Drosophila melanogaster: one gene and its partners. The gene in region 3 interacts genetically with the main gene of each other region. Each region holds a gene or a part of one and is shown on either strand. Other genes may lie near its edges.

What was found.
Region 1: of bs (region 3) and px, changing one enhances a phenotype caused by changing the other (phenotypic enhancement), as found in Drosophila melanogaster (one study listed by BioGRID).
Region 2: of bs (region 3) and emc, changing one enhances a phenotype caused by changing the other (phenotypic enhancement), as found in Drosophila melanogaster (2 studies listed by BioGRID).
Region 4: of bs (region 3) and tx, changing one enhances a phenotype caused by changing the other (phenotypic enhancement), as found in Drosophila melanogaster (one study listed by BioGRID).

Annotation. Positions count from the first base shown.
Region 1 is NT_033778.4:22,557,498-22,565,485, forward strand, and holds the start of px (plexus), read right to left. Parts: upstream 4,569-7,988; 5' UTR 4,422-4,568; exon of another isoform or gene 4,402-4,421; intron 3,646-4,401; 5' UTR 3,249-3,645; intron 1-3,248. Other genes in the region: CG11362 (uncharacterized protein), read left to right, coding at 4,897-4,936, 4,997-5,292; dnr1 (defense repressor 1), read right to left, coding at 6,623-6,929, 6,997-7,638.
Region 2 is NT_037436.4:745,775-755,166, reverse strand, and holds emc (extra macrochaetae), read right to left. Parts: upstream 5,768-9,392; 5' UTR 5,504-5,767; coding exon 4,940-5,503; intron 2,896-4,939; coding exon 2,860-2,895; 3' UTR 1,675-2,859; downstream 1-1,674. UniProt on the Drosophila melanogaster protein: Participates in sensory organ patterning by antagonizing the neurogenic activity of the Achaete-scute complex (AS-C). It lacks a basic DNA-binding domain but is able to form heterodimers with other HLH proteins, thereby inhibiting DNA binding.
Region 3 is NT_033778.4:24,338,896-24,346,801, forward strand, and holds the start of bs (blistered), read left to right. Parts: upstream 1-3,965; 5' UTR 3,966-5,194; coding exon 5,195-5,779; intron 5,780-7,906. UniProt on the Drosophila melanogaster protein: Required for the formation of intervein tissue of the wing. Acts in a dosage-dependent manner to suppress wing vein formation and promote development of intervein cells. Might play a role in the proper formation and maintenance of the trachea.
Region 4 is NT_033777.3:26,438,127-26,445,660, reverse strand, and holds the start of tx (taxi), read right to left. Parts: upstream 4,884-7,534; 5' UTR 3,925-4,883; intron 1-3,924. UniProt on the Drosophila melanogaster protein: Probably plays an important role in the differentiation of epidermal cells into the tendon cells that form the attachment sites for all muscles.

The DNA of each region.
Region 1 (7,988 bases), 1.8 Mb from region 3:
TCGAATGGTGCTAATTCGCTTTATCAAGTACATACTATACTATACCGTAGTATACTATAGTATAGATTCGCTAAACAATTTTGTGCTGCCCTCGTTTAGCGATTCCCATCATGATGGCAGATGGCAACAACAGTTAAGCAGAGTGTGCTATTTTGCAACTGGATTGTTTTTTAATCCAAATTATGTAATCATAATGTTTACCCCACTAATTAAATGTTTTATTATTTATTTACAAATAAATAATTTGCCAGCAGTAATTTCGAGTGGCCATAATAAAGTTGCATAATGTAAACAACAAAGGCATGCAAAACGGAAGTTTTTCTACTCGTATTGCAATTATTTTTAATTTATTTATGCGCATTATATTGATTTTTTTTTTACTCGGTTGCAAATGCAGCAGGGCCATGCAATTGTTTTTGTGGGAAAATGCAGTTTGGAGCGCTCATATTTTGTATTTTACCCTCATTTTTCCTGGTGCCAGCTTTTAAGAGTTGTTAGCCGAGTTTTTGTTTGTTTTCCAGTGTGTTGGGCACACAGTTGTGGCTAAAACAATTGTAGTATTTGGCTTACTATGTTAACTTTAGCTGAATAAGTTGAACATTATATATTATATTATCTAAGCACATTATACGTTTTCTTATAGATGTTATGAGAATAAATATTATTATTATAATTATTGGGAAGCCTGTCCTATTGAACTGACCTCAAGTGTGTTTTCCCGAGTTTTCCCAGTGCCTGCACTTGAACATTGTTGCTTTTGTTGCCGCCCACCTGCGCCTGTTTTTCCTCCCCGTGCAGTTGTTTTTAAAAGTTTTTTGTTTTTCCCCCCAGCTGCCTGAAGGAACATTTTTATGGCCCCCATGTCCTTGCTTTTGTTTTTTTTTTTTTTTTTGAGGGCGTGGCAGCAGCCCGAGAACAAGTGAAATAGAAAACGCAGCGAACCAGTTTTTAAAGTTTTCCCCCAAATGCGGAAAATGCCCAGCTTTAACCATTGAACTCCCGCTTATCATCGATGTTCTTGCCAGTATTTTTTTGTATTTTTTTTCGCCTTTTCTATTCCATAGTTATAGTTATAGCTGTGGCGGAAGTTGCATACAATAACAATAACAAAACGAGTGCAGGAACATTGGAAAAGTTTTCGAAGGAGGGTGGGTGGTGGTGGTGTTGGTTGGGGCAAGAAAAAGTTGCGTTGTTCGGAAAAGTTTTTAGCGTAGTTTGAAATTCTTTTCGTTCGCTCTCCTCTCGATTATATGTCGAGTTCTTTTCTGCGAGTTTCTGCTGTAGAGTTGAGAGCTGGCAAAAGTGAGTTAAGGTGCTTAAGTTTTGCCGTCTTTATTGTTCGTCGCTTTTTTTTATCTATCCTAGTATTTCTGTGCCAGTTTTTCAGCCAAGGAAAAGCGAGCGCCGCGGGAAGTAAACTGCATTAAAGGGGCCAAAAATGGGGAACAAAATTAGTAATAAATCCAGCAGTGAAATATGAAATCGCAGCGAGCCAAGAAGCACGCTGTGCATATTGCAACGGATGCACATAATTCACATTTCCGCAACTTTTGGCTGGCCTTTGACGCAATTGGAGTTACCAGGGAAATTGAATTTTTTAAATTTGCATCGGGCAAACAAACAAGATGGAAAGCGGAAACAGCGCTAACAAAAGCAAGAACATAAATCCTGCCCGAGATGCAAAAACAAAAACACGGCAAAATGACAGAGAAAATGGAATTTATTAAATAGCATTCCGCGCAATAAACTCTTGCAGCAAAAAAAAAAAAAAAAACGAGCACAGCAACAAAAATCCACACACACACACACACACACACACACACACACACACGATCGCATAATCAAATAAAACAACTTGGACATGCAATTTTATGGCAGGACGTCGTTTTCCTTTTGGGCACCCTTCTCCTCGATTCCATTTCAGTGGCCCCCAGTTCAACGTAAACAGACGCAAAAACAATGGGGAACGAGTATAAAATGGTATATGTACGAATCGGAATTAAGAATACCCTATCGGATACGCACAGTATCAATCATCTATGGATGTGCGATGAATCGAAATATACAAGGAATAAGGAACATCTTATGGAGATCAAAAAACCGAATGGTTTTAAAATGCTTAAAAGCATGCAACATTTGGAGTTTGAAATCAAATAAGTTCATATATGTTTTATGTTTTTATTTAGAGTATTTCACCATTTTAACGAAGTTATAAGCCCTATTGCTAGGGTATTCAAAAATGGGATTAAGCCGAGAGGAGAATCGCAAAAAGACCGCTCAACATTTTTTCCATTAAGGGCGCCCAAAAAATAAAAAAATAAAAAAAACCGGACAGCTAAGAGGGGCTCAGGGATTTGCGGAGCTGGCCATCAGCGCATTCAGGTTTTTGGGACCTGCTGGACACAAATTAAACCAAGTGAAGCCAAATAAAAAGGTTAAATTAATAACCGTAGTCGCTCTTTAAAGTTCAAGCCAAATGCTATCTGTATGTATGTGTGTGTGTGTGTGTGTGTGTGAGTGCCTGTGCGAAATGCATATTTGAATATTGCATAAATCATCGCTTTTATTTCGATTTTTGTTTTATTCGCCATGCGGTTTGCTTTTGTTTTCTGCAAAAGCGCCTCATTAAATTACCATTTTAATGATTATTTAATTCCATCAGTTGGACAAATATAATAATTGAATATATATTTTATATATTATCTTTGCAGCCCAATAAGTTGTCAATGATAATATCTTAGGATTCTGCAATTACGTTCGATGGCAAACTTCAGCATTTGTATTTAAAATCTCATAAATTATTAAAGACTTTTAAATTTTATCTACATATGATGTAAGGTAGATTCTATTGAGATTTTCCGTATCAAAACCTAATATTTTGAGTAGCATTTTGTAAATGCCGTAAAAAACGTCTTACTTTCGTCATGCCTTCACTTAAAAAGCGTCAATATCAGTATCATTCAGATTTGCTGTACAGCACTTGAAATTCCTCGATTGCTAGGAATTGTGCAATCTTTTATTGCATTTTTTTAGAAATAGTTAGGTCGCGGCGGATATTTGTGATGGAAACCACACGAAACCAAACTGTCTGGTCTGAATTGATTTAAATTAATTGAATTTTAAAGCGAACCGGTAATCGGCAACCGGTTTCAACCGATTCAAGGCGAACCGTCCAATTGAGCAAACGGTATTTGAATGTTTTAACTGATTGATGTCAGTCGATATGGCCTGATTGTTCCGATACTGACCTGTGCTCCGGGTGCTTCGGCCTATTCCAGTTGACTCCGATTAATCCAACTCATGTGCCTGTTTTTGTGGCGGAATTATTGGGCGGAAGAGGGGATTTACGGGAATTAAAGCCGATTTGGGCGGATCGAAGGGACTTAACTTCGGGGCAAACACATTTGGTTTCAGGCACTTGTCTAGACTTTCCTCGGCGTTTCTCGGTGTTTCTTTCGGTTATCACACTCTTTATTCTAAATTTCTTCACTTGCTTTTGAAGCTATTAAGAGCACTAGTGGATTTTCAAATTTTGAATTGAGCATTCACGGTATTCTTCATGGTTTTCTTATAAGTTTCACTTTACCCATGTTAAGCTGGTAAAAATAGGGTTTCGATTTTATGTTTCAGTTGTGGCTGAACAATCTAGAAAGAATTTCAAAATTTTCGGTCACTATTACAGGTTTAAAATAAGAAAATGAATTTCGCGCAAGTTAGATTTTATTTTATTCTTATGTGTTTCAAACTTATAGTTGTGTTTATAAACTTTATCACATCGCTTTTAACAATTTCAAATTTTAATGGGCTAAATTTGATGCTTATCACTCTTAATTTCTGCCAGTGCATTTTGATCGCATTGTAAACATTTTTACAGAAACAAGAACAACAAATTGCGTTTCATTGCCACAGTGGTGGTCTCTGCGCCGTCGTCGGCAGCGACGTCGACGTCGGCTGCGAAAGGCGACACCATTTCACCGGCGACTATTAGCAGCAAGTGCGAGAGAAACGGACGATGGCGATCGCACAATTCCACACAACACACACACACACACATACGCATAGGCTGCAACTGTTGCAGCAGCCAAAACAACAACAAGACGGCTAAAAAGCGAGTGTTTTTTTTCGATTTTTTCGCGCTGCGACCTTGGAACCGTTAGCTTTTCAAGCTGAACTCTTGGACTGTTAAGTTGGCTGCCTTTTTAACACCTTAATAGCGCTTATCCAATTGTTTGCCTTTTGCTTTTGTTGCTTGTTGCTGCCGTCGCTGCTCTGCCGCTGTCGCTGCTGCTGCACTGCCTCTGCCGGCGTCAGCTGCTCGCCTGCGTGTGTGTGCGTGTGTCCGTGTGAGTTTCCGTTTGTTTTGTGTTGGGCCTTTTATTTTGTCGTGTTTTTTGTGCCCACCGTGCAATTGCAATATTTACGGATTATTCGCGGACCGTTGAGCGATATATGTGCGGTTTTTTGCGCGGAGTTGGATCGGCGGAGACGACGGAACAGCGATATATAATTGCAGCAGTTGCAAGAAGAAGAGCCAACCAGCAGTGGCTGCCAGTGTGTGCACACTGCGCAGCAGAATTGCCACCTGGCCGGCGGTGTTGCCACATCGCTGGATTTCGTGCTGCGATTGTCTGGAGTGTAAGAAGAAGAGCAGTGGATCAGCTGTTGCTCACAAGCGGCTCAAATTGAGTTATGTGCTAACGCGTTCGTGGAAGATTTGGGCGCGCAATTCAAAAATGTAACATAACGGGATTTAAAGATTTCAATTTAAATAAACTTTGAATCTATAATAATCTATTGTTCGAATTAAGCGTCGAAGTAAAGTTTTCAAATAGTATACTTTGCGTCACAACTCAACCCAAAATCAGAACATTGTAACAGAAATAATTAGGTCTGAAAATGAACTCAATAGTGATTTTTATTCTGCACTTTTTCTTGGGTAAGCAATTAACATATGTATAAAATAAATTCTACTAATGAATTTTCCCTGCCGGCTTAGGAATCACACTCGGAACAGCTATTCCCAACGAAATAAGTGTGAAAATGGCAGTGCCAAATAATTCTGTTACTATGAAAACCGAAGAGTTCCTGCTGCAAAACGAAAATATTCCCTTTGGTCTTCAGAGTATTCCGCATTACTTAAAACATCTCATTACAAATGTGGACAGGGATATCCCGGGAAAGAGAAAACCGAAGATTACTCAGTACTTCAAGCTGAGTCCAGAAATGGATAATTTGCAGATGATGCGGTTTCTTATCGAGACCTTTGGCAGATTCATTGGACTCATTACATAGGCGTAGTATGTTCTTTTTTGATATATTTTCCAGCTGTGAGAAGAATTCCAACGCGCTCATAAATAAGAAAATGAAAGGAGAAGACGATGAGGTTTTGATGATTTCAAATGAGAGGAACTTGATGAGATTTTTTGGTCAAGAGCATTTATTTCGAATTCAGTTTTGCAACGAGGCCAAAGGAGAAAAGAAATGAAGTATTAAAACTGATAAATGATAGAAGAATTCGTTAAGGAAGAACAAAGAAATATGCCACAGAAAGCTTTCAACTAAAGACGGCAAGAAACGAAGATTTGCTTTCCAAATAATAAACAACAGATAACAAGGTACATTTAAGGTTTTTTCATTGGTTTCTTTTATATGTATATATATATATATATATATTTATATATATATATAGATCTATGTATATATAGTATAACATTGTTAACATTTACTATTGACTATGTAATATCCGCTGCAGAGATACTTTTCGTGTTTCGTGTTCTGTTTCAGTTTCGGTTTATGTTTTTCTGTTTGATTTGCAGGTACTTAGTACTACTTTGCTCCTTGGGTTTGCGATTATTGTACGCTTGTCCTATATATACACACGCTATAACATATAGTTTTTTAATAGGTATCCATGGTTAGATATATGAGAATTTGGGGGGCTTCTTATATAGGTTCCTTTGGGTAGGGTGGAATACTAAAGAGTTTAGGCGTTAATAAATACATCTCGAGTTTTAGTTGGTAAAATTGCTAACATTTAGTAAGTAACTATGTTGTACATTCAAGGGCTACATCGTATAAGGTATCGCTGATCTATAACGATCGTAAATATATCTATGTGTATACAGTATACAGTGTGTATATGAATATGAAACAATCTGCAGTTATAGATTCTAGGCATAGGCTATGCAGTGAAGTCTTAGACGAGTTTAAATAGCACTTTCTCGAAGTTCGTACATCTATAAATAGTAAATATATGTATATATATATATATATTAGGTATATATATATATCGTGTATATGGCTACTCTGTAGATTAGAGTTACAGCTAGAGTTAGAGTTAAAGTTTCAGTTGCTTATGTCGCTAGAATACTTGAGTAAAGATAGAGCTAAGATTGTTTGAAAGACTGACTACGCCGCTTCGAATCGATTTCAAACCCACGTTGCACGTGACATGTTGCACGTTGCACGTGGCATGTTGCACGCTGCCAGTTGCTTGCTTGCCTCGTCGGTTTGTTCCCCTTTTAGGTTGTGGTCATAGAGCACTAGTGAATCATGTTGGTTCTCAGACAATCGGCACGCACACCCATTCCATCAGCCGGAACAGCAGCGAGCACAACCAATTCTAGGCGGCCGTCGTAACCTTCGGCTGTCCGCCAGGTCCGGTTGCTCCTGCTCCTGCTCCTGCTCCCACTGCCATGCCGCCAACTCCCACTCCTGCATCTGCGCCCGCCTCGAGGGATGCGGGTGCCGCCGAGATCTCGTCCAGCTGCTGTTGGAGCAGCTGCTCCTCCACCTGGCCGTCGCCCATGATGCTGCTGCTGCTGGTGGTTGTGGCGCCGCTGCCGGTTTGGCTGGTGCGCAGCTCCGGCGGCAGATAGATTTTGACCACGCTGGTGATCTTCACCCGACAGTTGGGACAGTTGCTGCATCTGCAAGACAGGATTAAGGAAGTTAGTAAGGATTCAATGGGAGCACAAGGCTGCAGAGACAACTCACCGTGCAGCGCACTGGGCGCAGGCGATGACGTGACAGCACGGATTGAACACTGTGTTGATGGCGCGGTCCATGCAGATCTTGCACTGCATGGCCTCCGAGATGCGCGTGTCCACGCAACGCTCAATCGCCGCCTCACGCGCCTCCTTCTCGCGTATGGCCAAATCTATCTTGCCGGCCATGGAGCCGCCGGCACCAGTCGTCAGGGCCATGGCCCATGGGCTGACGCCCGGCTCGCCGACGGCAGAGGCGCCCAATCCTCCAGCGACAGCAGAGCATCCCTCGGCTCCCTCCGCCACCAGATCGCCGCCCCGCTCGTGGAGAGTCCTCCTCGCCTGGTCGTGCACCTCGCGACACGTGTGCTGAATGTCGAAGACATAGCGCTTGCCCAGCTCCGTATTCTCCATGAACATGGAGGCGATGGTGCCCTTGAGATCCCGGGTAAACTGATTGGTCACCACTCCGCGCACCTTGTCGCACACGTAGAAGGCGTGGCGCTCCGTGATGGAGCGGTACAGGCCCGCGGCGATCGGCTGCTTGGGCAGCTTGATCTCCAGCTCCTTGCGATCGTTGTGGTCATCCACGTACTCCAACTTGAAAGTGCGACGCAGCGACTTGGCCGCAGCGATGGCGCCAAAGGGGATGCTAAACGAAAAGAGACACAAATCCATTAGTTTTGAAAAACTTAATTGAAAAGAAGAAAAAAGGAAGTCGATTGGATTTATAAGCTCTATGCATTTACAAGGCACTTTCAAATCAAATGGTAACTGCGCATTTGGTTATTAATCATTAAGGTTTATAGCGCATAAAGTGAGTTCTATTAAAAATGTTACCTTTGACGCTAATTTTGCGCTACATTAACTTGAAGCCAAAATCATTTCGAAAGATATTGCCAAGAAGCGACTATAAAAATGCCATTGAATTATTCAGGTTAATGTATCATCCATCTACTTATAAGAATGTTGTTTTCGTTTTGAGCAACTTTTTTAAGGCCT
Region 2 (9,392 bases), on a different chromosome or scaffold from region 3:
GGCGACGGCATTCGCAATCGCGCAGTTGCCGCAGCTGTTGACTGCTACACGAGTTTTTATGGTAATTCAAGTTTCACTGATTTCTCGTCTCAGCGCAGTCGCACCCAAAAAAAAAAAAAAATCATTACATGGGAGAAAACCCGACTAAGGTGAGCGCACTAATTGTACCTGGCCAATGGCTCAGAGCCCAAAGCTCTGCAAACAATTAGCGCATACCAGAGTTTGACTCGGAATCGGAGATCATTGGCCCCGCAGAACGGGCGATGTCGACTAAAACGCACCGATGCACATGGAGAAATTGGGTATTCACTCATAGGAGTAGGATTCAAATCCTAAATAATCGCACAACACTTTTATTACTTTGTAAAAGATTTTCAATATTTCATGGGTTGAATACAACGAAATGTTATACTGATTTTTAAAATATTTATTTTCTCAAGCTTCACTCGACATCTTTTAGTGAACAATGAATGTCCCCCGTAGACAATGCATGTGAACCCCAGAGTGTTTTGTTTCTTTTCCTATTAGTTTCCAAATGCCTGCAACTTAACTTTAAACGGCTGGGCATACCCTAACAAGAAGATAGTAATGCGGTTTTCTGTCGATGGAATGGGTATTTTTTACGATTATTGTATTAATTGCTCAATTAACAGGAGGCAATGTAATAAATTGTACTTTAGTGCAGATCTGTCAACAGTGTTATTTAAAATATGCAACAACTTTAAAGAAAATATGTTTTCAAAAAGGTGTTGGGTTAAGTTTAGCACAAGGAAATCGATCGACTACTTTTACCGCATGATTAAACTAGTTAATATGGTTGCTAAGATGTAAATAGGTCGTTTTTTCAAGAAAGTGCCTTAACCTAAAGATTTAATGATACATTTTAGGGCCTTCCATAGAGCATCCCAGATTTATGGGCTCCGCGGAAAAGCTTTTCGTAGCTGTTCAAAGTGTTTCCCCAGCGGTCCACTGGGGTCCGATCCGAATTGACATTTGAATGGGGCGACTGGCACCGAGTGCTCCGAGTGCCGAGCTCCAAGCTCCAAGCCCCGATCTCGAAGCCAACCCGAGACTACAGTCGCAATTGCCAATTGGTCAGTGCATTGTAGTTGCAATCATTAACGCTAATAGGCCGCCAGATAGCGGGAAAGAGAGGGAGACAGTGGGCGGTGGGCCGTGGGAGTGTGAGTGTGAGTGGAAGTGGGTGGGCAGGCAGCTGCGGGTAGCGCAGAAAATCCAAAACTAAATCCACACCCAAGTGGTTCGTACGTGAAATAAAAGGAAAAGCGGCCAGGCCACAGTGAAGGAAATTTTCTCAACGGAAATTTTCCGTCCGCAATTCGCACACGTGTGCAGGTCGAGTTTTCAACGGACCCTACGGCCGTTTTACCTGGGAAATGGAAAATGGGAAAACCAAACCCCTAATGACAAAGGCGGCGGCTGCGTGAGAAAACTCGCTCGCCCATGAAACTCCGAGAATAATATCATCCACCTCATTGTTCTGGTAATTCGTTGCACTTGTTTACATGTGAAAATGGCCATCCAGCTGAGTTTTCCTCCCCCGGCTACTTGTTGTCGTTGTCTGCAGGTAGTTACCGACTTTTGCGGTAAGATCTGGTAGTTTCTTAATCCCCTGCTCCCAACGGAAATCCATTGACATATTCGATTTTTAATGTTTTTTAAATTTTTGCAATTTATTAAGAGCTAGTGTTTGTTTTTCTTTATGTTTTAGATAATATATTTTTTCGCAACATCATCAAATGTTTTCTTTTGTTTTTTTTTTTTACATCATGATAGAGTGTTTTTACCATCGAAATGAGAACAAAAATGTGTAATTTCGATTGCGGATCATAATTAAAATCGCATAATTATGCTAAAAAAAACACTTTGTACAAAGTATGCTACAGATCACAGAACATATATTAATATATATTTATAGGTTTTAGTGTATATCTGGTAATAATTATTATGCATTATGCGTTATTTCGATTAAAAAAGAGGAAAACGATCCAAGGGACTCGGAAAACTACAAAATGAGGTGTTTGTGTTTTTCTATGTGAGTGGTGTGAGTGAAAATTAGTGCCTGGAAATGAACTTTCTCGAACTTAAACTCTAAACGTACTCTCTCGATATAAATTAATGAATTTGAATGTGTGTGTGCTGCTGAGTTGGTTGTTCTTGTTGTTTATTGGCTGTGGCTAATCAATAATAGGAAAACTCTTCATTGATTAAAATTAATAGGAAAATCATTTGGATTGAAATCATATAATCGTAATGCAGGAAACGGTGATTCAACGTAATTCCAGTTTGGTGCCTGTGCATTTTTATAATTTTTTTTTATTGCTGATCTCTGTTTGCTTTGCATTAGTAACATTTTTTCTTGCGTTGTTTAAACCAAAACAAAACTAAAATTAGGAAAACAAAAATATATGCTTCAGTGTAATTTCAAGCGTTAAAGGAAAATTAAATTGTTTAAAGCTTTGCCAAGTTTTCTTTCTTCCGTTCATTCTTAAGCGCCATCATCCTAGTTGTAATGTTTAATTAATAATCATAATGTGTACTTGCTTACGCTGCTCTAATGCTAGGTTTTGTGTTGTTGTATTCTTGTTATTAAATGTTTAAACTAAACTCTGTTGGAGCCAAAAGCGAGGTCTCGTTTTCCCGGGTTTTCCGTTTCCCGGGAAAAGGAGCGTTGAAGAGATGCGCCTGGGCTGTGGTTTTCTTGAGAGTTTCACACGTTATCTTATGCGGAGATCTTCACACGAAGGTTGCGAGTGGAGTTTTGACTGTACTTTCATTATGCATTTAGTTAATAGGCTTATAGGTTCCGTGGGTTTTCCCGGCTGGGCGTTTCCACGCTTACGACTGTCTGCTGTCTTTCTCCGCATTCTGTGGCTAAAAAGAGAGAAGCGGGAAGATTCAAATTAGTACATTATTAATGTGCGATTGAAATGCAATAATTAGTTTATAAGCTGTATTATTTCGCCATTCTATGTTATCAATTAGTTCCCTGTTCCACTGATTTGTTTGTTTTGTTTGTGTTTGGGACACTCGCCGAGAGGCTGATTTCGATGAGTGGAGGGGATGGGGCAATAAAGAGGCGCCAAGAAAATCAAACGCGCTGTCATTGAGCTTTTGTTTTGCACTTATTTGAGTTCTTTGGCACTGGGAAAAATGTTTTGCACTAAGAACATGTGCATTAGAAGATACAACATGTTTTAAAATAACATCTCAGGTAGCTTGCTTGCACAAGTATACCCAGTTGAAAATCAGCAAAACGTTGAAATCACGCAGTTTTTCCCCCAGTGTCTTGCGCTCTCTTCTCCTCCGTCTTCTGCTCTCTTACTGCGAGGGGGCGGTTGTGGAGGGGGGGGGGCAGGATCCGTGGGGGGAACACAATGTAGAAAGCGACCGACTGGCGACTGGCGCACAGCTGCGCGAAAAAAAAATCGAAAAAGAAACAGCAAAAACAACTGAAAACAACCCACAGAGAGAACATTTTGAACACGTGCATTTCTTTTTACAGTTTTCTGAGTGCCCCCATGTGTTCTTCTGTGTGTGTGTGTGTGCGTGTTTTCGAAAGAATTCTCGGATTGTTGTTGGCTTGTTGTTGTTGTTGCGGCGGTGACACATCATACAAACACAAAAAGTATATATGTTTGTGGGTTGCAGATGTTTTGCAACAAAAACACAAAAATTACGCACCCAAAATGAGAGAAAAGAGACCTACGCAAAGCGGACTGAGCTAAAGACCCACAGTTAATTAATCAAAAATTTAAGAAGTAACTCATAGCCAGGAATGACGAAGGCACGATTTCAAAACCATCTTTCTGAATTTCGAAGAAGGGTTTCCACCTTCACAATTAATCAACAATCAGAGATCGAAAATTAATAACACTTGCCGGGCCACCCAGTCGATCATTTGTTTGAGAAACCCATTGAAAAAAAAGCTTTTTCGAACCTGTTTTTACGAACATATTGTAGATCTCAAACGAATTTTTTCGCCAGCATCATTAATAACCGAAAGTCCAAAAACGAAGAAGTAACGAAGCTGAGAGCTAATGAAGTGAGCCAAAAAATAAACCCAAATGAAATAAAATACGAAGACTGATGATTCCCCAATTCCAAATTCCGTTTTCAAGCTCGCAAGTGCGTGTGAGTGAGTGAGTATGTGTGTGTGCGAGTGTGTGTGAAATAAATTTAAGTATCTGCAGGTGTTCATTTAAAACATCACAACAACAGAAAAAGGCCGCGAGAAAAAATTAACAGCTACGTATAGGCAACACACAAAAGAAAGAAACGATGGCGACAACAACCGCAACGCATACAATCGCACAGAGACGGTCTGTGAAATGTCTATAAAAACGAAATGAATCTGTGCGGCGAAGAAGAGGGTACGACAAAATCGGGCAGGCCGCGTTGTCTAAAGCCACCCGCCCAATAAAGAAATTTCCCAAAACTCGCCAACGAAACGAAACGCGCCTCGTCCTTCCGTTAAAAAAAAATAAAACAAAATGAAAAAAAACAACATTCACGCAAACATTCGTCAATCGCCTTATGAATGAGGTCACTCGCGAAACAAAAACAAGTAAAGCCAAACAGTTTGACACTCAATTGTCTCCTAAATTTGCAATGCAAATGCCAAACAGCTGCGGTCAAAATAATGGCACTCAAGGAAATAGCGAAAATCGGTGGATCGCAAACTTTGCGATATTCGCACTTCCTTATCGTAACTTTAGCAATTAATCGCTTTATTGTCTAGTTGAAACCAGTGAAGTCATGTACTTTAAATGTTTAACTATGTTATTTTCTCAAAAATAACTACTTTAAATATTCCATAACCTTATTATTTCTCCTAATATTTCGACCTGAGCTGTGCTCATCTGCCCACTTCCTATTTGGGTTTTTCACTACCCTAGCAATTTGTTTGTTAACTCACCGTTGCTAAACTGTTGGACAGTTGCTGCTGTGATTGCAGTTGTTGCTGCTGCAGTTGCAGTTGCTGCTGCTGCTGATGCTGCTGCGGATGGGCGGGCGCCACAAGAGTGTTGGGCGTTTGGCGATCGGTAAGCGGGAGACGGGCGGCGGGACTAGAGACTTTCGCCGGCTGCTCGGCATTCAGGCGCTGGGCGAGGATATCTGGATCGACTTCCGCTTCTGCCTCGGCATCCGCATCCTCCATGTCGCTGTCCTCGTCCTCGTGGAGTCCGTTCACCGCCGTCAGAGCGGCTGCCGCATCGAAGTTGCCCATCTCGGGGTGCGTCTCCAGCTCGGTCTGCAGGTCGCAGATGTAGTCGATGACGTGCTGGATGATCTCCAGCTTGGTGAGCTTCCTGTTCTTGGGCATGAACGGAACGAGGTCCTTCAGTTTGGACAGATACATCTTCATCTCGGCGTTCTCCCCGTCGCCGCGGTGCGTGGGATGGCGCTGGATGCGCCCGCTGGCATTCAAGGCCGGCATTCCGGAGGCACCTGTCTGGCAGACGGCCGTCAGGGACTTCATTCTGGAGATGATTGCTTTACGCTCCTTGAGTAGAATCTTGGCGGTTGTTACACGGTCGTACCGGATTACTTGCGAGGTTCAGTTAAAGATTGCTCTTGACTGGCTTTTCAATTTGATTTGATTTCGGCTTTGTGCGCTCACTTCACTTTGTTTTCTCACTCTGTCGATGTTCGAAACGAAACACTTTAATCCAGCGTGTTTTCTGCGTTTACGTTCTCGATTTCTATATCTTTTGCTGCGAGCGGTCAGACAACGAATGAGTGGTGCTCGCTCAGAGCGCCCGCTTTTATACCCCCCGAACGGGCATTTCCGAATCCGATAGGCGGAGTCTTCGCTCTCGGGTTCGTTCGGCTGGAGAGAGATATGTACTTGGTTGGAGAGTGGAGACTGGGGAATGTGTCTCATTGGTGTCCATGTGGAACTTGGACCACAACTTGAAACCGGAATTTAGGAGAGTTCCTAAGAGGTGAGTTGCGGAGAGGTCTGCTTTGGTGGACAAGAATGTGGAATTAAGGGGTAGCCCTTCGTGTTTGGTCTTCACAGTCATCATTTCAAATCCACAATGAGAATGGAGTACGAATTTAAGCCTGAGATCTTAAGAGGGGAAGATGTGTAGTGTGAAGCCCATGAATTCTGAGAAAACTAATTTAAAATAATTCAAAATACAACTGAGGTATATATGCTATGAATTAATCCTTTCGGATACTTTCAGTTCTTGACAAAATATCCAACAAGTTCTACAGCCTGTGTGCCCGAACATCCACCTCATTGACTTCTACCCGAGATACCAAATGAAACTCAACCTTACCACAATATCCAATCCACAAGATACAATCCAAATTCCACACATAGTAGACACTTTTTAAAGCACTAACATTTCCCCTGACTCCACCACGGTCCACAGATACTCACCTTTGTAGACCCGGCTTAACGAGTTCCTCTCCGAAACTCTCCAAACAAATCTGAATACTCTCCACGAGATGCAAAATGATCGGTTTTTTGTAAAGGGGAAATGGTTTTGTGATTGGTCGGCTGCTTTTCTCAGCTGAAAATGAGAAAACACGAACAGTAACTCTCGCTCAATAATTTTCCTCTCACGACTGCAATGTTTGTTTTTCTTTTTTTTTTCTCATGTTTTGTGAATGAGCATGAAAATGAATGAAAAGTGTTTTGTGGGATAAGGAGGTTCCACAATCAACACGAAAAGGCGAAAAAGACAATGCGAGTGGTTCAACAAGGGCTTGATTAATTACAGAATGAATATTAAATATATGCATGGGTAAATTAGATTTTAATCGCTGTGGAATGGTGAAAATTTTAAATCATTTGAAAATAAGAAGAGTAAATATTCATAATATATTATATTGGGCTAGTTAGTAGTAGTTTTCATTAACAATAACTATTCAAATAAACTGATAGCTCGAACAATCCTGTTAAGTTTTCGTATATAGACAAACGATTAAACGGTAGTCGTTCAATTTGTCATATTTATTCCTAACAAAGATAAGCGTTATGCGCCTCCGTTCAATGGAAAACTAGTCGTTATCAGTGGATTGACCAAATTCTTATTAACGAGTTTTCAAACGGCTAAATCGAAATGCACGGCTTATCTGCATCTTATCTTAATTTGAGTCCACGACATCTTGAACACACATAAGAGTTCGAGGCGCCTCGACTTCTCTCCCACTCCATTGCACCGAAGAAGTTGCAGGGTTTCTGGGCAAGAAATCCACGATTGTATTTCACACACATGATGGGTCGACGACGATCCATTGAGGAAATTGTGGAAATTTTCATTGAAAATGAGCGGGCGCGTCGTTGTTTGTGAAAAACGACACGTCTCTCTCTGGTTATCGTCTGCGTTAGAAATGGTTTTGAATTGGTTCGCTATGGCTGAATGGGAGACATGACTGGGCTCGAAAAGCTTGTGTTTATTGCTCTTCGGCTTTCGTGCCTTTAATTACTACGGTCTATTTGCAAGTTTCCGTGGAAACGCAGTTCAGGAATGTCCCGAGATCATACATACATATGTTCCTGGAAATCGGGGAACAAGGTGTTGCATGAAATACAGCAGAAATCCATGTTCCATGTCGAAAAACTAGACTCGAAATAACTAAAAAATGCTGGCAAAAACCAGCGACACAGTTCAAATTTCCCAGGGGAACGGAAGGCTAAAAAATACCGATCATAATTTTATGACTGCTGCAACAACGACGTCTCGAGATGATTTCACGTCTTCTTCGCCAGATTTCAGGAGACTGGAACTGAAACGGAGCTTACTTTACGACTCGCGAGTGTTTCGCCTGAATGACAAATCAGCAGCGCCGCCGAAGAACCAACAACAGGTTAAAAGCAGCAGAAACCTGGAAAAAAATGTAGAAAATCTATAAATACGCAATTTAAATACCCTACATCTGATGGTAAATTGTAGTTCGTTTGCATTGCAGTTGGTTTACCTATATCTAAGATGCACTTCCTGAGAATCTTCGATTTAATTCAATATATACCACAAGTATAAACTTAATATTCAAAGTGTATTTAAATCTGAAGGCAAGAGGGCCGCTATTTGCAAGCCATAGAAACTTGTGGAGGATGCGATGAAGATGAGGATCACATGTCAATCAGCGGGCGGGCACTTGCGGTGCCTTTTTTTTTTTGTATTTCATATATATATAATATATTGGGATAGGAAATCGGGGATAAGGGGATAAGGGGATCCCGACGTATCCCAGAGATGGCGTTGCAGATATGCAGCCGCATGCCGCGCCGCGTGCATTGCATGTTGAAATCCAATACCCGTCACTCAGTCCCGCTCCTCGAGCCCCAATCTCCAATGCGATCCCATCCGATCCGATCCGATCCCCATTGAAATCCCAGTCCCAGCCGAACTGATTCCATTCCAATCTCAGCTGGGCTGAGGACATCTAGTTGCCATTAAAGGGGTGCTCTGCCCTGTCACTCTCCAGTGACATCCCATTAATGACTTCGCCTTGGAATTCGGAACCGATTTCGTTTCGCTGCACCGATAAAAATTTCTACACTTCCCGTGGCAATTGCGAAATATAATGGTATCTTGTGGTGCCCATGTGATAAGTGCTGTAATACAAAATGTTATAACTACTATAAAGTTCATTCACAAATTTAAGGCTCTCCACTTCACCATTTCGGTTAAAACTAAATCTTGAGCAGAAACTTGGGTAAACATCCACTTCTTTCAGTGTCGTTTATTTATAAACATATTTTGCATATGGCCAGCGATGATGATTGGCAATTGGTGATCCAAGATCAGAGATCCCACTTGCAGTCGAGGCTTCTTGGCTTGGACTTTTTTTGCTTTAGCCGCATCCGGCCTGTGTCCATGTTTTTTTTCAGGTTTGTTTAACTTGTTGTTGTCCGTATGGTAACTGAATACTAATTTCGTAGCAAAAAAAGTTCCATTGAGGCGTCGATGATCGCTGAGCTTTTGTTTACTTACTCGCTCCAGTCGCCCCCTTTCCCTTTTCTCCGGGCGAAACAATAAACTCAATTGCGTGGGAATGGGAACTGAAACAGAAATGCCTTTTTTTTTGTTTACGCATGGGTATAACTGCCGAGCTCAGCTGGATTTCAGACTCGCAATGGGCCGATTGATTTGCGTTAGGGGTATGCAGATCATGGGACCAATAACTATAAGTCAAGCATTCTAGTGAAGCAGAAAAATATACATAAAAATATTCATCAAAGGAGCGCTAAGTAATAGTTGCGATGGAAGCCACATAGAAGTCGACTCATTGAGGATAAAACAAACTAAAACATGGCTTCAAGAGGAAAACCAAACTTAAACCCCAATCGAACTGCTGAGTAGCTGCACTGAAATAAATTCCTAATTTATATCGAAGCAATTCTTACA
Region 3 (7,906 bases):
GGTTGCTGCGCAGCTTGACAATAAGTGGCTCGCAGTCAGATGGGCAGATCGAATGGTGGCTACCTTTTAGTTCAATGATCTTCGCTAGTTGTTGCAGAATCCCAACTCCAAACTCATCCAGAATGCTGGACGAGTCACTTGAATCACTTGCTAGATATTTTGGTAAAGGCGATTTCCTCTAACTTTTAGTAATAATTGATGTTTCATATTGTAGTGTGGTGCTCCAGTCCAAACTACCCCACATACCCCCTAGCTAGCAGGGAGGAAAAAATAAGTTACCGTTCTACGCGCTGAAATTTGTTGTGCCATCGACGATCCGCAGATCCCAAGCTGCTGTGCTCCACCGTTGGCAGTTGGCAGTTTGCAGTCTGCAGTCTGCAGTCCGCTGCTTTCCGTTCTGATGGCCTCAGCCAGTGGACCGTCTGCGTCGATCCTCCGCCTCCACCTCCATCTCCCGTCTCCCGTCTCCTTGTCCGCCGTTGTTGTCAGTTGGAGACCGAGTACAAGCGACCATAGATCGCTGGCAATCGATCAAGTATTTCGCGTACATTATCCGAGATGCGTGGGATAATTCTGTTCTAATTTGTAGAGGCCCCGAGCTCCAGTGCCTTTGGCCTCTGGACTCTGAGTTCTGGGCTTTGGGCTCGACTTGGCCAAAAGTGCCTCGAGGAGCCCACTTCCATGCGAGGCACGCACCGACCCATCTGCGCCTGCCTTCTGATTTTCATAATTAATATTGGGTGAATTAAAATGCGCGGAAGGCGAGGAAGTTAGAACCGCGTGCTCGGGAGGAGGGGAAGTTAAGGGAAGGGCAGGCGGTTCCGAACTTCCTGCACTTGTCACCGTGAAAAGACGCGGCACCACCTGCATGCAAATGAGCCGGACTACCGGTAATCAGGTGAAACGGTCACGACCTGTTAATCGTTTTATGATTGTAGCGGTGCTTTTGTTTCCTGTGCACAAACGGTACTTGCACTTCGGCCCAAAAGAAAACCAATGCCCAGAACTGAGAACTGAGAACAGAGAACTGAGAAGCGAAATCGTAAGGCCAAAACCCCCAGCTTTTCCTTTTGTTTTCGCCCAGGGAGCCGCAATTTTATTTAAATTGTAACACAAGCGACCAGACAATTGCCCCGAAGTCTCGCAGAGCTCGATCCTGATTTCGATTCCGATCCCGATCCCGATTCTCAACCCAATCCAATCCCTACTCCCTGCTCCTTATGCGTTATTCATGAGGCAAAAACATTGCGATCGCCTGTACCAATTGCCAATTGGTTCGACTTTTGAGCTGGCGTTGGCGGTTTTCTCTGCCGGCTTTGTCAATCTCAGGCTTTTGGCTTAGTGCGCTGGAGCAGGAGCAGGAGTTGCAGTTGGACCTGGCTTGGTTAAGTGGTTCATTGTCACCCCAGCGCCCAATTAGACACCTGAGTTTCTTGGCCACTCGCTTTCCGGCGATCATACACCGCAGTCATGTGCTCATGTGCCACGTTCTTGCATTCAATCAGATATATTCCGATTGGCCGATCTCGGGCCCATCTGTATAAGGAGTGTGTGTGCTCGGTGGTTTGAGTGTGTAAATCAACCAGCTTGCTGCGCAGATAATAGATATTCTATTTTGAATAATACCTGGGGAGTCGCTTGTACTGTTTTCGTTTTTTTTTTGCTATCTTAATTGCATCCAATTCTACTATCACCAGTCGTACCAATGACTTGCCATCCGAATCTCGTGCTTTACTTGAAATCCTAACACAATATTTCGCAGATACTTTCCCGCATGACCATACTGAAAAAGACAAAAAAAAAGGAAATTTACATATTTCGACTATTTAAAACACTTTGGCTTTGGCTTAAGGCAAATGCCCAAGTAGCGCTATAAATAGTAAAAAAGTCTATATATATAAATATACACATATGTGGCTATGGCTATGGCTAGCTGCAAAATCAAAAGTTGTTCGGAATCGTAAATGGAACAAACGCTCCTCTCGAGTTATAAATATATTTGGGAATATACCTATGCCATCCGTATGCCTAGATGATCTGTCCACCGTTTTGAAGGTGAACTCTGCAGGATTACATAATGCGGACTCTGAGCAGCAGCATCAGGAGCAGCCCCCTAATTCCCCTCGTCCCCTCTCAAATAAATGCACGTAAAACGGCAAGCAAATAATTAAGTATTAGAAATGTTCAGCTGGGGAGAATTCCGCGGAAAGTGCGATGGCAAAAACTACAGCATGTTGCAGTTGTTCCCAGCTGGCCAGAAGCCTCCAAGAGAAGCCAAGAGTTCTCCTCCAGACAGGCTGACGATTGCCTAGAAAGACAGCCGCACTGGAGCCAGCGGACTCCTACTGCCGGTGGAGGAGAAAACGGCGGAGAAAGAGGGCCTGGATGGCTGCAGACGCTGAAGAGCCCAGCCTGCAGCCAACTAACCAATTAGTAAGCGCTGCACAGAACGCGTCTACAATTGTGAGAACCTCAGACCAGGCTTGCAGGCCAACAAGTCAACAAGCCAAGAAGCCAACAGCCAGCAGGCCGTGTGAGTATGATGAAATGTCAGCAGGACCAGAAGCTGCATCGAAATGCACTCGGAGAAATACTTAGCAAACAACTAAAACCAAATTACACAATAAAAAAGTGTCACAGAGCTAGAGATGCATATGTCATATGACCCATCTGTAAACCTAATCCATATAAAATACGGAATTATTAGGAATGCGTGGGGATCATCAAACTTCATCTTTATTTATTGTTCTTTCTTTTCGCAGTCTTGGGGAAATGGGAATACAAGTGGAAGGCATCATTCAGATTCAAGTGACCCAAGTGGCATCCGTTTTCCCGTAGTGTCCAGAAGACCTGGTGCCCGCTGCGTGGATCGATCCTTATATGATCCGCTGGCAGCGGCAAACGTTCTATTTTGACAGTCATTATGATTAATTTAAATCATTAGGCAGCCCGGGCAGGTAGACAAACCATCGAGCTCCTATATTCCATCTAATTAAATGCGAGAGGAGCGGAGCTGCAGTTGGCTGTGGTCCTGGTCCTGGTGCTTGATCGGAGTCGACCTCGGAGTCGGAGTCGTGGAGCTGGACACGGGACCTGGACTGGCTTATTCGCGGAAGAGACAAGCTGGCGACAACGACACCGATGGCTGGAAAAGGCAACGATGACCATTTGCAGCTGGGGAATGCATCATCTTCGATCGCGGATCGGGGCGCAGTGAGTGTATCGATTTATCTGCGCTTACTATATACATATCTGCTGCTATCTGCTAGTCGCTGCACGTGGCCATGCCCACTCCGCCCCTTTGCCCATTCCGCGAACCTCTATTTAAGGACATGGCGAAATACTCGTGCTCCTGTGTACAAGTGGGCCCACCACGCAAATCCTCTAGAGCATTCTGACCATATTGGCGGGGCTAAGAAATTCCTGGCATAGTTTAAGTGTATCGCTTTTTGTTGCTGCGCCCGGGCACTCAAGATGCCCGCAAAGCTCAGCCTGCGAAATGTCGCAAAAGAAATTACAAAATCAGCAATAAGAAAATCAGAAAATCACAAAATCAGAAGATCACAAATTAACTAAATTAACAGCGCTGATAAGGCGAAACGCCACGTATGTAATTACCGAACTCAACCACGAGTTTTCAAGGGGAGGAGCCAATGAGCCACCCAGCCATATGAATCCCAAATCCACGATCTATGTGTGCGCATGCGCAGCGAATGGGTATGCATATGGGGGCGTGGCCATCTAATTAATTAAGCCATAAAGCCAGCAAAATGAACGACGGCAGCAGGAAGACGCCGAACGGGGGTGGGGATTGGGTCGGGGAATGGGGGATTGGGGTTTGTTTTTATGTACTCCGTACTCTTCGCGTTCGAAATCGAAGAGAGCGCGGCGCTCTTAGGAAAAGAGGAAACCGGTTCGCCCAAGTTTGGAATATCGAGCGAACATCGTTGGTGGAAATACGCTGAAGTTTATTAGGTATTTGCACGCCATCTGAAGAACAACGAACGCCAGCTATCGATCGCAAGTTTAGCCCGTCGAATCGTTTCGAATTCGTATTTGGAATGAACCACAATAAAATCGCCACAAATAAAGTAAACAGTCCAAACAAGTGCCTAGCGACAAATAAGCAAACCAACTGCAACGCATACGGAACAAACAAAAACACAAATATTTCCCATAACTGCACTAAATCTACGAAGTCGAAACAAAGTTAGGCGTATTTTTTTTACCAGAAACACTTAAACAATTTTTACAAAAAACGGATATTAATGCAATCAGTTCGAGACAAGCAGACAGCAAGCGGAAGACTTAAGGAGATAACAACTTATAGAGGCCATAATCAAAGGAATAAAGCACCATCAGCCAGCGATGAGAAGGAACGTCTTCAATGATAAACCTTCGAAAACTTTTAGAAAATAGCAAACATCCCAATAAACCACAACAATTATAAAACGCGAGAAAGGATTTGGTAAATCATCTAAAACCAGTTCAACAAACAACACATATAGTAAACATTAAATATTAAATCACAAGTTTTAGAAGGCAAACAAAGATAAAAACTCTTAACACCAGTTAAATAAAATATACTAAAAGAACTGCAACCAAAAAATAACATACAATTAAATGAAATTAAAAGCCATAAAGAAACTTAAAGCCATTGGAAACAAGCCATAAAAGCGGTCCAGAACCTAAATATTAAACACAAACCAAAATTCAAATTCCGCGCCAAACGACCACACTGCGCAACACACGAGCGCTGCATCCCTGGACTTCAGCCGCATTCCAACACTGCAGGACTGTCAGCTGTCAGTTTTCCTGTGTGTGTGCGCGCGTAAGTGTGTGCGTGCACTTAAGAAACTTAAATTCGCGTTCTTGGCCAAAAAAAACCCGGGTTTTTAATAAGTTATAGCGTTTTCCTCGACTGAGAACTTGGCCCCCAGGCAGACGGGCACAAAAACCGCCCCAGAAACGCGCCCGCCGCCGCCAAAAAGGCCGAAAACGCCAGCGAAACGCGCGCGTTGAGTGTTTTCTGTGTGGTTTTATTTTTGGAATATAAAGCGATCTGATCTGAAAAGTGTGCCGCGGCCGGATTCTAGATATTCAGATTCCCAGCACCCGAAACCCAAACGCAATAATAGACGCGCGCGGTGCCTTGGATCTCTACGGCTCCACGGTGGAGAACTTTTACCTCAGAATGGATCCGACGCGAGGTGACTCGCGGTACAATCTCAACTACTCGATGAGTAGCATAGGGCTGAGCCTGGCGGATCCGGCGGACATGTACGGCAACCCGGCCCTGGGGGCGGGCCGCCCGCCCTCCGGTGGCCTGCTCCAGAACATGGGCGGCGTTCCGCCGATGCAGCGCCCCAATCCCGCGGCAGGAGCACCCCCTGCCCCGCAGTGCCAAACGCTCCACAGCCCACAGCACGCCTCCCAGCAGCAGCAGCAGCAACAACAGCAGCAGCAGCAACACCAGCAGCAGCAACAACAGCAGCAGCAGCATCCCCAGCAGCAACGCGGCCTTAAGCGCTCCGGCAGCGACTGCTACGAGGATCACCACCGCTCGTCCGGCGGACTCACCCTCCAAGGACTGGACAACGTGGCCAGCGGAGCCGTCGACGACAGCGTAGACAACTACAACCCGCTGCCCAACAAGAAGTCTCCGCCTGCCAACGGCAAAAAGACAAAGGGACGTGTCAAAATCAAAATGGAATACATCGACAATAAGCTGCGTCGCTACACGACCTTCTCCAAGCGCAAGACGGGCATAATGAAGAAGGTAAGATCGCTGGAGCACCCCTACGCCATCCCCATCCCCAACGATATTTTCAACCCAACCCCGAAACCGAAATCGATCCCCATCCCAATCCCCATTCCAGCCACGATTGGCGCTGCAATTGGGATGTTGACATCGGGCCACGTTTCCAGCGCATGTGCAATTAATAAATGCTTCAGGGATTCAGTTGCGACGGAATCCAGCAGTTCCCCCACATCTCTGGCATTGTTCTGCCTCCGGAAAGAGCGAGGATTTATTGTCAATTGGCCATCGGCACAGTGGTCGGGATAGCTGGCGCACAATAGGAGAACCATCTCGGAATATCAAGTACCCAATGGATATATCCAACAGTTAGACCATTTGTGTACATTACTCGTCAGTTCAAATATTCAAATCTTTCTCTTGTGTCCATTACCAATTATTAGTTCCACTTGGAAGTATGTTTATTGGACCAATACAAATTCTGCTTGGAAATTGCTTATAGGCCACCTTATGTTGGGATCCCAAACCTAATGCTAAACAATTTGATTTAAGACTCAAAAACCCGAACCACTGTGCCCGCGAAGTACCTCTGCTCATCTCTAGAACAGTAGCCGCAGATCCTCTGCTTTTGGCCAGATCGCGTCTGTTTGGCCAACTGTTGGCCGCTTTGGCGGCGTTGTGTAAGCGCGGTAGCCCACGATTCCGCGTTGCCTTTGTTTTCGGCTTCATAAAATGTTAATTTGCCGCCGCAATTGCATTCAAAGGAGGCTCCTGCCCACGGAGCACTCCTCCCCCGAAACAATTGATGCGTGCTCCTTGTGGATGGTGGCCCACAAGTCGCTGCAACTGGCAACGTTGCCTTGGCATTTTCAAATGACCAATTTTCACACGCAAACTTACATAATGCCACTGCATTAGCTCCTGCTGCTTTCCATCGATCTGGGGGCCGTATATGAAATTTTTCACATTTCTGAAATAGACTTCCCTGGCCACTAGCTGAACCAAGCCCCGATCAAAATCAGACAAAAAGCATCAACATCGCGGCGCTAAATCACGATCTCAGCACGATCTTTGCCCAAGACACAAAATCTTATGAAATATTTGACCCAAGCAGACCAAAAACAAAGACGTTGGAGCACTTAAATTTAAAAGGGGAGATTTGGGAAAACGTTTAGCTTGTTGTACGCTAGAATGGCAATAAAATGTCAAGTATAAACTAAATGTTTAATAAGTTTAATTTATTTACTGAAGTTTATTTACTTTCATTATTAAGTCGCAAAGTAACTTATGATTCTTGAATTAGAGGAAGTGAGCAACCCAAACCTGTTAAACTGTTCCTCTTTACCCAATCTCAGTTGATCCCGAAATGGTGTTTCCTTATCGGTGAGGGTATCCAAAACATTTGACCCCTGGGACGTGGATTCTCGGGGCCGAGCTTATGACAGGCGCACGCCCGGGACAAAAGGCCGCTTCCATAATATGCGTTCCAAAAAAATATCGTTTTGGTGACTTTGATGCGGTCCCTCATCGATGTCCAGCCGGCGGACAGTTGACAGGCAGACAATGGGATTTTGACTTGGCGCTACCAGCGGTAGCAGCAAAAAGCGCAGAGGCAATCTGCAATCCGCCATCCCAATCCCAATTCGAATCCCTAGCAGCCAACCAACAAATTGCGGCCAATGAACTTGGCCCAGAGAGTTGTCGCGCCAACCTGCTGGCATGCTTTCCACTGGCCAATTTTGGTCATTTCGATCTGGCCGAGAGCCGGGGCTCTTTTGGCGTGGGTGGCGGTGGTCAAAAGGCCAAAAAAGGCGACGAGAGTGAAAAGTGAGCTAATGTCCAGAAGTGATCTCATTTGCTGGCCAGCCTAATTGCGTGGGCCGCATCATCGATGGATTCGCAGCTTTCGCTTCTGGCTTCTGCATAATGCACGGCCATCGAACAAGAAGCCATCGACAAGTTCCCAACAATTGGCCATGGCTAAAAGGGCAGCCGGGCGCAAAATGCCGCCAAAAGGTGTTAAATTGAAATCACGAGGCCTGGGATTGGGATTGGGGATTGGGGATTGGGCTTGGGAATTGTTTGTTTCGGGGCCAGCTTGCAGCACGGAAGCTTAGGCCGCAGCCTCGTCGGCAGATTGTGCCCAGA
Region 4 (7,534 bases), on a different chromosome or scaffold from region 3:
CCTGCTTGACACTTGTTGCATAGCTTTGACCATTCCCAGAGCTCGCTCTTGGCTTGGCCTAAACGAGTTATGAGGTGTTTCTCCTTAAGTGAGCACTTTTCTTCGATTACCGTTAATGTTTGTTTGTCTGGCAGCAATAAAAAAAAAAAAAAAAAAAACCAGAGAGAATGCATGCCAAGAGATTCAGCACAGCTCATCTTGAAATCCCAGCAAATCTCCATTCAAATCACCTTTCCCTGCCTCAACTTTCAACACGTGGCTAGGTTCTTCACTTCGTGCCGGCATTTTCTTTTGGCGTTTCGCCCCTGTTTCGAGGTATAATTAATTTTTACCACGCAATCCTAAGAAATGCTTAAAGACCCAGCAGAAAGAAGTTTTTAAGTTGGAAAAGATCCGCATGGATTGCATGCCCTTTCAAAAAGTTTTAAATGCTTTTAGAATATGCTTAGTATCTATCCTCTACTCTACATATCTATATACATATAAATTTCGTTAATACATTATTTTTAAAGCATGGTACGAAACGAATGTCATTCTTTAAAAGACCCGCCCCCAAGTCAGTGGAACCCACTTGAGTTGTAAGGGCATCGTGAAAAGTTTGCGACATGCAACAAACAAGCTGCAATTAAGCGCGCAACACAGAAAAATTTGTGCACCGTCTTCAAAGAGGGGCGGCAAACGTTGTTCACCTGCTCACTCCCCTCGCTCCCCTCCGCCCAATTTTCCCATTTTCCCGCCCTCCGGTCCAAAACGACGTGAAAATTACCTAGTTCCGTGTGCTTAAAGTGGGCCTTTTCGCTGGGTGGGTGGAAAAGCGTGGAAAGTGCAACGACTGTCCGCAATCAACAAATTGCATGCGATTAAAAGTATTCGCGGCTAATAAACGTTTGTTGAACAAACAGCAACAAGCGGCCTCCTGATTTTCGGAGTCGCAACCGGAGGGATACAGGATATGCTGCAAGGAAGTGGAGCAGGAAGTTAGCGGGGCGCAGTTTATAGTGCATAGGGCCTGTTTCGTTCTCTGTTGATTGGAAAATTTGTTGCGCGCTTTTCGTGGACAAAGTGAGCGGTGGGGGGGGGGGAAGGAGGGCGGGGTGGTGCCTCTGCTTAAGTTTTCAATTACACGCCGGCACAATGCAGAAAGCGCCCAATTGAAATGCACAGACAACAAACATAGAACAGTTCCTCTTACACAAAAGCCCAACATTTCATTTTGACACTGAGAAAAATCGGAGGAATGTGAAAGAAATACGTTCAATCAAATACAATAAAGCTGTTATGTTTGATTACTGCTTATAACATTTCAGCTTATCAAACTAAGTTGTGTTTTTGTTATATGATATATTTATAAGATCTCATATTCAAATAAAATGTTGAGCTTTTTGACAACAAAAAATTCTTAAAGTTTTTTTCCTTACAATTATTTGCAGTTGAAGAATTTTGTTTCAGTGCACCCCTTTTCCTGATCCCATTCTCTTTTACCAACAGTTTGGTAGACAAAAGGCGAGCCGTGCGTGCGACGAGGCGTGAAGGGGTCGAGGGGCGGGGCAGGGGCGTGTGGGTGGGTCGGCCCGTTCCACAGATATATAAAATACTTTTTTTTTTTTGGGGAAAATCAGATGGAATGGGAATGGGGACGGGGAAGTTAGCCAGGCCTAGCCGAAGTGCACTTGAAACTACCGGCGAGTGGCTCCTCCTCCCTCTGCAGTCTGCCCTTCACTTTTGGTTCGGTTGCAGTCGCTGCATTTTTAGGTGTAGCCATTAAATTTAGAACTTTTTCTGCACGCTTGTCTGCGCGCCCATGGGTTTTCCGGGGGGAAAATCGGGGCAGGAGGAATTGTTGAATTCAAGGATTTCGGCAGTCGGGTGCGGTTAAATGGAAAATGAAGCGTCTGCTGCTTGGGCACGGAAAAAAAAGCAACTGAACCACATGAGGCATTGCTATAACGAGGGTAGATGACTTAGTTTGAACAATGTTTTCTCTTGACAAGATAAAGTTAGCATGGTAAACGGATCTAAACTTTGATTTATAAATATTAGTAATCCTTCAATTGAAAAAGTAACTAAAGTAGTAAAATCATCATCAAGAACTAAACTTTCAACTTTAATTATTGCTTTTGAATGAAATCCAAAGTTGCTTTGTCTTTCGTAACTTCAAGAGCTGCCCTCTGGACCGATTCGCTATGGAATCTCCGACTGATTCAGATTGTCTCTGTGCCTGCCGTGTTTTTGATTCGTTTTGTTGTTGTTGTCTTTTCCACAGCTCTAAAATTAGTTTTCATTGTATGCAACTTGAATTTTCTTCCTTCACTATTTTCGTTTTCTTATTTTCGTAGCGCTCTATCTATTTTTTATCTGCCTCGATTTGTGATTCTTAATTTGCTTTTTGTGGAAAGCGTCAAAATCTTTCATTCGGCTTCGACTTTGTTGCCGATACTATATACATAGTCACCTATAGTCTATAACCTTTGTTGTTGCTCGCCTAGCTAGTTGCGCGTGTGTGTGTGTGTGTGGTTGCTGTTGTCTCGTGCTGTTGGCTGTTGCCAGTTGCACGTTGCACGTCCCCCTGATGCTAGTCTCGTGTGTGCTACCGTTGGCAGCTATTATTTTTAGCCGGCCTGCGGCAAGTTCTTATTTGTTATTTTACCCATCTCTTTTTTTGCCGTCTTTTGATTTTTTTACGCTTCTTTCCTTTTATTTCGTTTTGTTTTTTCTTCTGTTGATTTGTTGCCATTGCTTTGGCCAAATGATTTTGTTTGATTTTCCATTTACGTTGAGTTTGTTTATTAAAATTGGCACACACTGCGTATGTGTGATGTGGCCGTGTTTACATTCACCGTCTCCCTTCCACCACCGTGTGGATAAATACGAATACGTATGAGTTATATTTTGATAGCTTTCTGTGTGGTTTTGTATTACCCATCGGCTTTTGATTTGCTTGATTTTTTGACAGGTCTCTGGCATTTGCCTACGACTAACTTTTATTTTTCTTGATTTATTCCTGCTATTGTTATTGTTTAAGTCTCTTTGCAAGGAGGGGCGCTGGCTTTTCCCACATACGATCGAGATTTGGGTCAGGGGGACAGCAAACAATGAGGTAGGCAAGTATATATAGGGTAGCAATAGACTCATGTGTCCATAAACTAATTTAATTTTAGATGCACCTTTCCATGGCAGAAAAATCATTAAAATTTGACTCGATTAATGCGTGTATTTTTGGCGAATTTTTTTTTTGTAAATCATAAAATATTTATGACGAATAACATTTTTTAATCATGTATTGAGTCAGCCCATGAGATGCTAGTTTATTTTAGCTTTCGACAAAATGAATAATATATTAATATATTAAATAAATAAATGCCAAATTAAAATCGGCGATTGACTGGCTGCCAGAAACCAATTTTACTCGATTATTTGGGCAAACATAGTGCTTGTTGCCGAATGGTATGGCGAAAATGAAAGTAAATAAATAAATGCCGGCGTTGATTAGCACATCACAGATTTAAAGTGAGTGGCAGGTTAAGCGGGACTCTCATTGATGATGAGAATTCACAGCTTTTGTTTGCACATTAATTAAACTGTTCCCCCTACTTTGGTCGCAAACAAACGCAGCCAAGTTGCTGCTTCCCTTCGGTAACCTTTGAAAATCAGTTGACAACTGGCTGTCGTCGCCGTTTTCCCTGCTGAGCAGCTCGAAAACATTTTCCCCTGCACACATCTGGCTTTTCAACACCTTGGACAAATAAATGTTTCAGAAGTTTCTTAAAAGCCCGCCCTGCCCCATCTGCCAGCCACTAACGTGATTGGACAGAGGAATGCCTTTTGTCTATTTTTATTGGGGCGGCAACAAGAGATCGGGCAGATCTTCTATATCTTTTCTATATCTGAACGCTTATGTCTGATAAATGGCGGCGGTATATTTACCTTTTTGATTTCATAAATCCAACAATGTATGGCTGCGGGATTGGTCTTTCAGGATGATTTGAATTCAGTTGTGCACTCTGATTAAGATTTGTTGATGTTTTTATTTTAATTTTTGGTTCATTAAAGTTGCGCCAAAGTATGCAAATTGAAATTCCGACAACGCGCTGTCTAATTAGTCACCCAACTAATTTTGATATGCGATCTTTGTTTGAATTTTGTTTTGTTTGGACTTTTTTTTATTCTTTTCGGATTTAAAGTTATTAGCTCATGCATAAATTTGGCATGTTAACACAACAAAAAAGGTTTGTTTTCAGTTTTTATTTCCTCAAAAACTTCTGGAACTTGTTTTGGTTTGAATTAATATTGCGGTGGTTGTGGTTGTTGCGGTTGTGATTGCGCCGCTGGTTTAACTATTGATAATAACTTCGGTACGGTTTTCGCGCATTCTTGAGTTGTGTTTATCTTGGGCCTGCTGGAAAAGCCTCGAAGAATGGATTTTCCGTGAAAACGTGCAAGCCGCGTGTGTCAGTGCGGCGGTACTAATGTGTGCGGCGGTGTGCGTGAGGCCGGTTGCTAAAAATATCTATGAGTGCGCGTCGCTCGCGTTCTGTGTATCTGTATCTCGGAATCTGTATCTGTATCCAATATCCCGAGATGGCATACGAAAATACACGGAGAAAATGCTGCGCTGCGTCCGCCTGCTGCGCTTGTCGGCTGTGCACTGAATAGATATATCTCGCGGATCGCTGGGATGGTCTGACTTGGTTTGGCTTGGGATGCGGTGGCAGCTAAATCAGCTGACTACTGCCCCCAGTTGGCTTTGACTCCGTTAGCCAGGTTAGCGGCTCAGGTGGGCGGCGATGGCAGTGGAAGTCGGACTTTTGGCTCACTTGTCCGCTGCGCTGAGCGTGCGGCGCGCTATTGGAACGATCAATGAATGAAATGCCGCATTAAAAGGCAGCACAGTCTCGTTTTCTCAGCGACGACCAATAAACCGAGAAACCCACTGGCGCTCGCCAACGCCAACACAAAACAGCCCAGCGCACAACACAACACAACACAGCACAGCTCAGCACAAAGTCATTGAAGAGAAACCAGTTCTCTCTTTCCCCAAATATCCACATCCACCCGATGTGTGGGTGCTTTTTGCGTTGGCCGGATCGGATGGGATCGTATCGTATCGGATCGTATCGTATCGTACTGTATCGCATAGTACGGTCCCAGTTGGTCTTTGGCGCACTCTCTTGAGTGATTTCCGATTCGGATGGATTTTCGGTTTCGTTTCGAGTGTTTTGAGTGCTACCACGAGTACGCGTAGACGGCCCCCTGAGATTTCGTATGATCTAATATCGCCAGGCAGTTATTTATTTAAATTTATTGCTAATTTTATTTGCTGCTGCAGCAGCGCTTGACATTCATTTGTACAAGTCAGACATTGCTTGAGCTCACTTGAAAATAGTTAAAAATGTTTATTCGCCTTTGATTGAGATGGTATCAGCTACCAAAGCTTGACTTGTGTCGGATCTCCATTTTTAAGGTTGAACTTTGGTTGCCAGACCATAAATGATACTCATTCTTGGTATTTATTTGGATCAACTTGGATTTCGTGGCGAATTATGAGGCACGTCGAAGTAAAGTTCAAGGAAATCTCCTCATTTGTTTGTCATTTAAGTGTTTTAAGAATGGATGGTGGAATTTTGTTGTTTTAACTTTAATTCATGACAAGTATTTAAAGTATTTCCTGTAAGATAATATAAATATATATAATAACAATTCTTCGAAACGTGGTGTTCAGTAATTTTCAGCAATTTAAATTGTAATTAAAATATTTTTGATGGGTATCTGATAGCCGACGCTTTTGACTCCTGTCCATATATTTGGATTTTATAATTTATTCTAATTCGTTTCGATCAGTTTCAGTTCAGATGTATTGGGTGTGTGCACTTCTCAAGTTGTTTTCACATAGCGTCTAATTTCAAAGTGCTAAGCTGATTTCAAAGTCACAATTCAGTTGTTGGAACCCGATTTTTTTTTATTTTTCAACAAAGAATATTGTTTAGAGTCATGTTTGTATAGTTTGTTTTTGCTTGCATTTTGTTGCTTCGCAAATAATTATAATTAACTGAAACAGGCAAATAATTGCAAAATGGATTTGCTCCTGCAGGCAAAACAAGTTGTTTTCTCATTATTGTAGCTATGACGACATACCCGGCTTAAATCTCGAGTTTGCCCCGATATACTCATATACGAGCATTTGTGAATAAATGACTTCGGGCAATAGACCGATCGACTCTGTGACTGACTGGCGATTAATTTATCTTTGTGCTTCTGTCTTCTGTCTGAAGGCGAGTTCGTCATCGTTTGTCGTGTTTTGTTCTTGAGTAAATAAATCATGATGACAACAGTTAAATTTGATTATGATTCTTTTTTTTTTCATGCCCAGAAAGCATACATTTTTCATGGCACAAGGTCGTCACACATTTTAGGAGAGTGGAAAAGTAACGCATGCAACATTAATTTGATTTGCGTGCGAAGGGAGCTGAAAATCAAATTATATATGTACGAATATTTTTGATTAACTGAGCGTATTTAAAAATACATACAAAGTGGCCAAAATGTTGTGTTTCTTTGCTGACAGCTTAATCTGCCGAACGACGACGACTCCCAAAGACAAGAACATGAATAAGCGAGCCATAATTAAAAAAACAAACGTCACTTTTGAATGTTTGTTTTGTGACCAAGTCCAAAAATATATGGGCATGGCCAAAAGGGGCTGAAAACGTGGTAATAAAATATATACATTTTAAAAAATAATCAGTTTTAAATAATTTCTCGCACTTTTACACTAATAATTGCCATAATGCATGCTTGTAAAGACTGAATTTATATAAGTTTAACTAATTGCTACTTAAGTACTAGAATTTTATGGCGTTAATTGTCATTACTTTTAATCTAATTTGAGCGTGAATAATGCCCCTGCTCCACCTGCCATGTCGCTCAATTGCTTATGCAAATGTTCTGAGTTTCAGCTTTGGCTTTGGCTTTTAATTGCCAGCTTCGGAAATCGCATTTGCCTTAATATGGTCAGAAAGCCAGGCGCGATGCCCAGTATAAGTTCGATCAAAGGGGGGCCCCAAACGCTATAAGCCATCAGCTATTAGCCCCTTCCCTCTTGGCCCACTTGGATGGCCGGCGATCCCGCTAAGGAAGTCTGTGAGACGTGTCTGCGACCATTTATGGCCATCGCACGGGAAAGCAGTGAGAAAGCAGAGACTTTTGTATACAAACTCTCTCGACTCGGCTAATTGTGAGCATCGTGGGGCTTCGGGCCAAGCTTCTGAGCTGGCTGTTTTGTGTGTACTGTTGCTACCTTGTCGGCTGTTAACTTTGTCTGCAGCCTCGAAAAAGCGTTGGTGTCGCTGAGTGGGCGGCGACTGGGTCTTGAGTCAACGTTGATTTTGTTTTATATTTTACGTAAATTTATTATTACAAATATCGTTATTGCCGCTTTCAAGCGGAAATACACTCGACTTGGCCAGCCCACGCTCCCTCACGGTCATAACCACCTGCACAGGTTATCTTTTCGTTCTGCCTGTATTTCTTGTTGGCT